2 linked regions of the Xenopus tropicalis genome follow. The protein of the gene in region 1 purifies or fractionates together with the protein of each later gene. This does not show direct contact. Links are inferred from orthologs where the notes say so. Each region holds a gene or a part of one and is shown in the gene's direction. Other genes may lie near its edges.

Region 1 (4,250 bases):
TAGTTGGGATCAAGTACAGGTACTGTTTTATTATTACAGAGAAAAGGGAATCATTTAACCATTAAATAAACCCAATAGGACTGTTCTGCCCCCAATAAGGGGTAATTATATCTTAGTTGGGATCAAGTACAGGTACTGTTTTATTATTACAGAGAAAAGGGAATCATTTAACCATTAAATAAACCCAATAGGGCTGTTCTGCCCCAATAAGGGGTAATTATATCTTAGTTGGGATCAAGTACAGGTACTGTTTTATTATTACAGAGGAAAGGGAATCATTTAACCATTAAATAAACTCAATAGGGCTATTCTGCCCCCAATAAAGGGTAATTATATCTTAGTTGGGATCAAGTACAGGTACTGTTTTATTATTACAGAGAAAAGGGAATCATTTAACCATTAAATAAACCCAATAGGGCTGTTCTGCCCCAATAAGGGGTAATTATATCTTAGTTGGGATCAAGTACAGGTACTGTTTTATTATTACAGAGAAAAGGGAATCATTTAACCATCCCTACAGCTCTGATCTGCCCCCTACCCCATTGCCCTGCGCTGGTGACACAGCCGCTTTCTGTCCTTATGAAAATCATTTTTCCTGTGAAACATTTGCACTCGTGCCTATTTTTTCAGAATCCTAAATCAACACGCTGGCATGGCGTCAGTCAATAAACAATCGGCCAAATGGCAGTGCTGAGCCCTGTGCTATTATATAATTGCCTCAAACACTAGAGATGGGAGGGGCCAGCCATGTCACTGTGTCATACATATCCCTGGCTCATGTGACTGCTGAGTCTGTACCAGTAGTGTGTGATCTCTGTCCTGCAGGGTGTCAGTTGGCTCTCCCTGGCACAGGCTCACAGGTTTCATGTGTATGGGTGGTGCCTGGCTTGTAGATTCCATGCAGATACAATTAAGTGCACTCTTCCAGGGCCTTAAAGCAATACTGTCACAGGAAAACAAAATATTTTCACAACCCATCAGTTAATAGACATTCTCCAGCAGAATCCTGCATTGTAATCTGTTTTTCCCATGGGGCTAGCCATATTCTTCATTTCCGAGGGTGCCACAGCCATGTGACCTGTGCTCTGATAGACCTGCTGTGCTGCAAGTTGGGGTGATATCCCCCACCCTGACCCCCAGCAGCCGATCAGTAGAACAATGGGAAGGGAGCAAGATAGCAGCTCCCAGTAGGTATCAGAATAGCACTCAATAGTAAGAAATCCAAGTCCGCCTTGGGATTCCTCCAGTTACATGGGAGTAGGAGAAACAATAGGTTAGCTGAAAGCAGTTCTAATGTGTAGCGCTGGCTGAAAGCTCAGACTCAGGCACACTTTACTGCTGCGCTGCAAGTTGGAGTGATATCCCCCCCCCCTCACCCCCAGCAGCCGATCAGCAGAACAATGGGAAGGGAGCAAGATAGCAGCTCCCAGTAGGTATCAGAATAGCACTCAATAGTAAGAAATCCAAGTCCGGCTTGGGACTCCTCCAGTTACATGGGAGTAGGAGAAACAATAGGTTAGCTGAAAGCAGTTCTAATGTGTAGTGCTGGACCTGCAGCGCTCTGATACCTGTATTGGTTCCAGCTGTGTATAACCAAGCCTTTCCCTTTCCCTTCCCATCTCCAGGTGATATCCACGGACAGTACACGGATTTACTGCGGCTGTTTGAATACGGGGGCTTTCCGCCAGAAGCCAATTACCTCTTCCTGGGGGATTATGTGGACAGAGGGAAGCAGTCACTGGAAACCATCTGCCTGCTGCTGGCATATAAAATCAAATACCCAGAAAATTTCTTCCTGCTCAGAGGGAACCATGAGTGTGCGAGCATCAACCGGATCTACGGGTTCTACGATGAATGTGAGTGTGTCCCACACTGGGCTCCCTGGACAGTGCCAACGACTGCGTAGCCATTGTGGGATGTTTGTTGGTGATATGATAATGAGGACCCCCTCCTACAGATTTTAGTGGTCAGCTGTACCGTCTCTTTTCACATATAGCTCACACCAATTCTAATTTTTATAATCCAGTTTACTTGGTCAAATCTCAGTGCAACTGTACAGTAGTTGTACTTTAAAAGGAACTTGGTTTAGTTTGCTTTGAATAACCTTGTTTTGCTGTTTGTATTTTCTGTGCTGCAATGAGCTTCAGTCACACTTTACTGCTGCGCTGCAAGTTGGAGTGATATCCCCCCCCCCTCACCACCAGCAGCCGATCAGCAGAACAATGGGAAGGGAGCAAAATATCAGCTCCCAGTAGGTATCAGAATAGCACTCAATAGTAAGAAATCCAAGTCCGGCTTGGGACTCCTCCAGTTACATGGGAGTAGGAGAAACAGTAGGTTAGCTGAAAGCAGTTCTAATGTGTAGTGCTGGCTGAAAGCTCAGACTCAGGCACACTTTACTGCTGCGCTGCAAGTTGGAGTGATATCCTCCCCCCCCCCCCCCCCCCAGCAGCAGATGGCGCCTACACACCAATATTACAGCTACAAATACATTTGTTGGTTCAAGAATAAAAGGTTAAATGGCAGAGGGAATTGATTATTTGTTGTGTAACAGTGTCATTTAGAAATAAAAAAACATGAGATCATTTTGTGGCAGGGGTGTGATGTATTTATAGTTTTTTCTTTCTTTATATCATGTTTACCATTCCTTGAAGTGTGAAGCTCAACTCCTTCCTTTGCTTTTCCCATTCTCTAGGCAAACGGAGGTTTAACATTAAACTGTGGAAGACATTTACAGACTGCTTCAATTGCCTGCCTATCGCTGCCATCGTGGATGAAAAGATTTTCTGTTGCCATGGAGGTACGCCATCTTTGTAACTGACTGGCAGGGCCCTTTTGTGACATATATGTCATGTATATGTATCTTATAAATATTGCTAGAAATCTGTTAGATTCCTCGGGGCAGTTATTCACTGTCGGTATAGCTGGATGTTGCCTACAGCCAAATACTTGTCCTAATTCCATCGTGTTTAGCTGTAGGCTCTATAATATGTGTCTGTGCCGGAGAGTCAGGCTGTAACCTGATGGCTTTGTACTGGTCAGCCGTGTTATTTAGTAATGGTACCAGTACTACCACCCTGTGCCCTGCATCATAAATATAGGTAACATCCAGGCTAGACTTTGTTTCTTTTGAGCCTTGCATAGTGTTAAGCAGTGTTTTTTCTAAAGGTGGCTATAAACTGCATGATCCGCTCACTTGGCACGGTCACTGAGCAAGCAAATCTTCTCCCAATATCCCCACCTATGGGTGGGTGATATTGGCCTAATTCGTTTGTTTGGCCCTGGAGCCAAACCATCGAATTAGAATGGCGGGTATAAGCGCAGTCCGTTCCGACTACATTTTCAAACCCGCCCGATTGATATCTGGCCAATTTCAGGCCAGATATCTGTTGGGCAGGCCCGTCGGTAGTGCCCATACACGGGTATAAGCTGCCAAATTGGTGTAAGGGACCGATATCGGCAGCTAGAATCGGCCCGTGTATGGCCACTTTTATTCGATCTTTTGACTCTAGGGCCTAACGATTGAGTTAAAATAGTGGGAATAGGCATTGTTGGTTCAGTGACTGCATCAATGAGCCAATGCTGTCCCCGATCCAACGGAAAAATCAAACCTGCCCCATAGAGATTTGCCCAATTTCAGGCCAGATGTCGGGGAGGCCTGTTAGTGGTGCCCATACATGGGCAGGTAAGCTGCCAAATCGGCAGCTAAAATTGCCCCGTGTATGGCCATCTTTAGGCTGTGCTTATATAACCTTTGCCTCATATACTGTGTGAGCAAATATCCCCTTATTTCAGATCTCATAACTGACCCTCAAGCTCACAGGCTTATCCAGAGGCTCCGATCTTACCTTATGTGGCCTTTTAGGGCAATGACAGATGCACAGATTCTGAACCCGTAGCAGGTTGTATAAATTACACAACCTGTTTAAACCACTTAAATTGAGTAATTGTGCAAAATGCCGCCTTACAAATATTTGAGCATTTTTTACATTTTGCGATTTAAGTGTTTTACCTCCGATTTACATTACTCACTATGGTAAGGAATTTTTGGCCATTTCGCCTTGGTTACAAAACACAGTCTGTCATTGTCCAATCCCATAGTTTAGAAACAACCGGAATTGGTGTAAAGGGATAGCTACGATAAATTGCTGTCATCTAGCTGGTGATATATAAATTTAATATAACAATCTCCTGGTGGGATCAAAACATTGGAATCACTGTGAGATGGTGAAATAAAAGAATTTGGTATT
Region 2 (4,780 bases), on another chromosome or scaffold:
GCAGAGCACTTTAAAAATAAAATTGACACCATCCGAAGGGACATTGCACAACTTAATCCCTATAACCATTTACCTCCCTCCCTACACACTACCCAGTCTCTTCTTGGCTCCTTCTCCCCAGTGACTGAAGAGGAAGTCTCAAAACTGTTGTTTTCCTCTCACCTTACTACCTGCCCGCTTGATCCCATTCCTACCAAACTTCTGCATAATGCCAACCCCTGTCTTATCAAAGCCTTAACTCATCTATTTAATCTCTCGCTCTCTACTGGAATCTTTCCCTCCCAACTGAAACATGCAATTGTAACCCCTATTCTGAAAAAAACCTCCCTTGATCCCTCCAATCCTACTAACCTCCGACCTCTCTGCTCCCATTCATCTCCAAACTGCTCGAGCGCCTAGTCTACAACCAACTGACGCTATTCCTCTCCGACAATAACCTCCTGGATCCCCTACAATCTGGTTTTAGACAACAACACTCCGCCGAAACTGCTCTAACCTGACAAACAAATGACCTCCTATTGGCTAAAGCCAAAAAACACTACTCATTGTCAATCAATTTACAGTTTCATCCAGAATACCGCAAATAACCATATTTGTTTCAAACTATATGATCATACATAAAATGTAATCCATTACTGTAGTAGTTTAACTTTTTCATTTAATATAATGCAGACTGAAATTAATGAGGTGATTTGCTTTACCTGTATGATGGTGTTTTTTTTCTTTAGTTTAGTTTCATCATTTTTTAATTTTCTTTAGTTCTGTTTCAGTGTGTAATTTCAGCAGCCATCTGGTTGCTAGGGTCTGATATATCCTTGCAAAAACAAATATATGAAATATGTTCCTACCCCTGTCTGGGGACAGACTTCACCCTTCATATAGAAACAACCCACTATTTGTGGTAGACTCTGACTGCTTCTTAGAAAACTTGTAATTAATTAACAGAAACCAAGGCAACTAAGATACCAAGATGCCCCGTGACCTGTGCTTTACTGCTGAGCTGCAAGTTGGGGTGATATCACCCCCCTCCCAACATCCGATAAGCAGAACAATGGTAAGGTAGCAAGATAGCAGCTCCCAGTAGATCCCAGTAGAATCGTACTCCATAGTAAGAAATCCAAGTCTGGCTTGGGACTCCTCCAGTTACATGGAAGTAGGAAAAACAACAGGGTACCTGAAAGCAGTTCTAATGTGTAGCGCTGGCTCCTTCTGAAAGCTCAGACTCAGGCACAATGCCTACACACCAAAATTACAACTATAAAAAACATTTGTTGGTTCAAGAATAACATCGCCCCCCCAGTGATAGTTTTATTACTAAGTCATTACAAGCACTGAAAACAAACAGGATCTATCCTATCAGCACTTTATTGTCTTGTTTCTATAACCATTCCTTTTTAAATTAGAATTTAGACTAGCTATTTTAAAGGGACTGCTTCCTTATCTGCAAAGGGATACCTTTCCATTAGCAACTAGGAACTAGACATTACGAAGCCTATCTGTAGTTTCTATGACTGTTCCTTTTCCAGCTACAATTTAGCCTAACTATATTCAAAGATCTATTTCCTTGTCTGTAAACGCATACCGTTCCATCAGCAATTTAGAGCTAAATGCCACCTTTATTGCCACCTTTATTAGCGAGAGCTGTTGAAACTGGAAAAGGAAGTGATTCCTCGCTGCTGAACTTCCGTCTGTCCGCCATGGCAGTATGCTATTGGAGTAAGCTGTATGGGAGCGTATGACGAGTTTCCGGCGATAGAGTCTAGCAGGTCGAACAACAGGACGGAGAAGTGAGGCTCTTGCACAAGCAGCCGACTTATTGATTGGAACGATCTACGGCTATGTATCCGGGCTGGGGCCGGTATGGCGGCTCTTCCTCAATATCTGCTCCGGCCGGGCCGCCATCCGCACCCGCTACTGGTGCCTTCCAGAGCTTTAGAGACCAGCACATGGCCCAGCTCCAGCAGCTTCAGAAAATGCACCAGCAGCAGCTAGAAACAGTCTTGCCTGTTGGCAGCACCTCTCAGCCTGCTGGGTTTCCCCCGCCGCCTGGAGCCTATCAGCCGCACACTGGCGGCTACGCGAAGCGATCGTATTATGGACCCGGAGAGTCTTATCCCTTCCCCCCACCACCCTTCGTGAGCAGCTTGCCTCCCCCTGGGTACCCTAGTTACCCTCCTCCTCAGCACCATCAAACAAACCCTCCGCTTCCTGAGCCAGCGCCCCCTCCTGAACCGGCACCCCCTCCAGAACCGGCACCTCCTCCTGAACCAGATCAGCCGCCCCCACCTGAACCTGCACAGCAGCCTCCCCCGGAACCGGCGCGCCCTCCACTTCCAGACCCAGAGAAGCGCTTGCAGCCCGCGGAATCTTCCTCCCCTAAGGATTCTGAGGGCATTAGAGGATCTGATGGTTTGTCTCTAGAGGTAACGAACACATTTATGACATGAAGCTGTCCATACACGTATATAGATAAATGCATTATAACGGACGATTGGATACTTGACAAATGTGGTATACAGAACGGTAAGTCATTGACATGAAGACTGCTAGCTTGCAAATGTTCATAGAAAAGATCTGCAGTCAGAGGCCTTACGCACATATATTTAAGGATGTTGTCTTGTACAATGTTGAAGTTGGTTTGTAATTTTACATATAGATCTTTTGTGTGGCTGTACATATACAGATGCAATCATATATGGTGCTGGGTTCACTCTTAGCTAAAAATTCCCTTACTTAAAAATGGTCCCTATAGAGTTCCTTATAGATCTTCTAAATTCCTTAACAGAAGCACAGTAGAAGCACAGCCCTTCACTCACACAAGCAAGACAGGCTTCAGTTCCCTATCTGATCCACCTAGCTCACAATCACCATGCAGCACCAATTGCCTGACTGCGCCGCCCCAGTCCCAGGTGTGCTGTGACTGTGCCTGACCATGCAATTGCCTGACTGCGCCGCTCCAGTCCCAGTGGCACTCCAGCACGCTCTGCCCTGAAGGGTGCGTGGTGCCTACTACCTCATTCCGCTTTAAAGTAACTTAAGATTTGCACAAATCTAAACCTGCAAAAAATAGGATTTGGCCTAATGCCAAACCAAATCTTGGATTTGACACTGGAAATGTTAGGCTGACCCATACATTCCTTGAAAATCACAAAATTACAAGAGTGTACTAGAATATAGTGGTAGGTGAGCCAAAGTTGAGTGGAAATCCTGCATGTGGGGCAGCTCCAGGGTTTACCTGGATGTGGGAGGTCATGTGCAGTGTGAAGATTTTGTCTAGGAGTGTACTTTGTAATTTAGGTGCTATATGTTGGAGTATTGTGATGCATGGAGGGGGCAGGTGTACGTATATAAATAACAGCAGCGGTATGTGTCCGCTGTCAGAAATTTGGGTGAGGAGGGTTGGAAAGTGGCTTGGCTGGAGGTGAATGTGGCGAGCGATCTGCCTGCAAACTGCTGCAGAGGAAGGTTGGTCTACTCAAACCTACCTGACCCACAGGTTTCATGTTGACCCCCCCCCCCATGCATCACTAGTGGAATGTCACTTAGAAGCTTTGAATTTGAGGGGGGTTTTTTGTTTGTTTTTTTTTCTCAACTCAAACTCATGAAATTTATATTCTAGGTCTGTGAGCTCTCAAAAACAAAATTCTGAAAAAGTCAAATTTAAAAAAATCGCTTACATTTTGCCTTCAACAATGCCTATTGACTTTTACATGAGCTCACAAGCTTTAGATGCTTAGGTTTTACATTCGAGTTTTTCCAAAATTTTCATGGTCATAATTCAGGTTCACAAGTTTTAGTGCAAATAAAATTGAATTGTGCCAAAAAAAATCAAATTCGAATGTTGATAAATCGGCCCTGCATGTAGAGTCCTGCTGCAGGTCAGTACCTACAGGTTACCTCCCAAAAAAGTGGGAAGCCTGCAGGTTGGGTGTAGAATTTTCTTATGCGGGTTGGATTGTGAGTCTTATCTATATTTCTTATCATATATTATTTTTAATCTATATTTTACTTCTTTAGATATTTTTTTCAACTACTGATGGCAGAGTTACAGTTTGCAGCAATGGCACTTTATTTTTAATTGTGGTCAGCTAATTAGGATAAGTCAGTTGCACGTTTGGTAGCAGGTCCAAGCAGGTAAAAATGTGTGTTGCAGGCCATGTGTCCAGTTTTTAAAAACTGGTTCTGTATAGGACTCTACCTGAGTGTTCTATAAGTTAGTAAAAGTATATTGAAGTGAATTTAGTGTATGACAGGTAGCCTTCGAAGGAACTGGAAAAAAAAGAGCCGCTTGTGGATTAAGAGGAGAGGTTGAGTGAGGGAGCAGTGTTCACCTGTAAAGCCCTGTAAGAAAAAATAACTTAACTTAAATAATGTATACCGCATATAAACATTACATTAAATGGAGATCAGCTAATATATCTTAAAGCACAAGTGAGAAATGGCCATTATTGTAAATTATGTTTTATAGTAAACACAACAAATGTTTACATTTTTTAATTGTTTTTATTTTAATAGCAACAACAACATTACTGGTATACACAGCATCTAATGAGTTTACAGCAGAAAGCAAAGCTGCGCCAGAAAGAGAATAGTGGTACATATTCTGTAAAATCTACTGTACCACAGAGGGTTCCAGTGCCACCTGAAAGTGAGCTTCCACCAGCACCTGTAGTAAAGGAGCCACCTCCACCTTTGCCTGCAGATGATGTTAAGGTAATGTTTTAGAATGTAACTTTATCAGATCTTCGTAACAGTAAAAAAATTGGTTAATACAAACCCC

The links. The genes of interacting proteins can lie anywhere in the genome.
Region 2: the proteins of ppp1cb (region 1) and ylpm1 purify together in Homo sapiens (affinity purification with mass spectrometry; 3 studies listed by BioGRID and IntAct, with this or other methods). This does not show direct contact. The link is inferred for Xenopus tropicalis from reciprocal best matches to the Homo sapiens genes PPP1CB and YLPM1.

The regions. Positions count from the first base shown.
Region 1 is NC_030681.2:5,961,927-5,966,176, forward strand, and holds part of ppp1cb (serine/threonine-protein phosphatase PP1-beta catalytic subunit), read left to right. Parts: intron 1-1,625; coding exon 1,626-1,856; intron 1,857-2,695; coding exon 2,696-2,800; intron 2,801-4,250. UniProt on the Homo sapiens protein: Protein phosphatase that associates with over 200 regulatory proteins to form highly specific holoenzymes which dephosphorylate hundreds of biological targets.
Region 2 is NC_030684.2:82,123,436-82,128,215, forward strand, and holds the start of ylpm1 (YLP motif-containing protein 1), read left to right. Parts: upstream 1-1,386; 5' UTR 1,387-1,838; coding exon 1,839-2,423; intron 2,424-4,515; coding exon 4,516-4,713; intron 4,714-4,780. UniProt on the Homo sapiens protein: Plays a role in the reduction of telomerase activity during differentiation of embryonic stem cells by binding to the core promoter of TERT and controlling its down-regulation.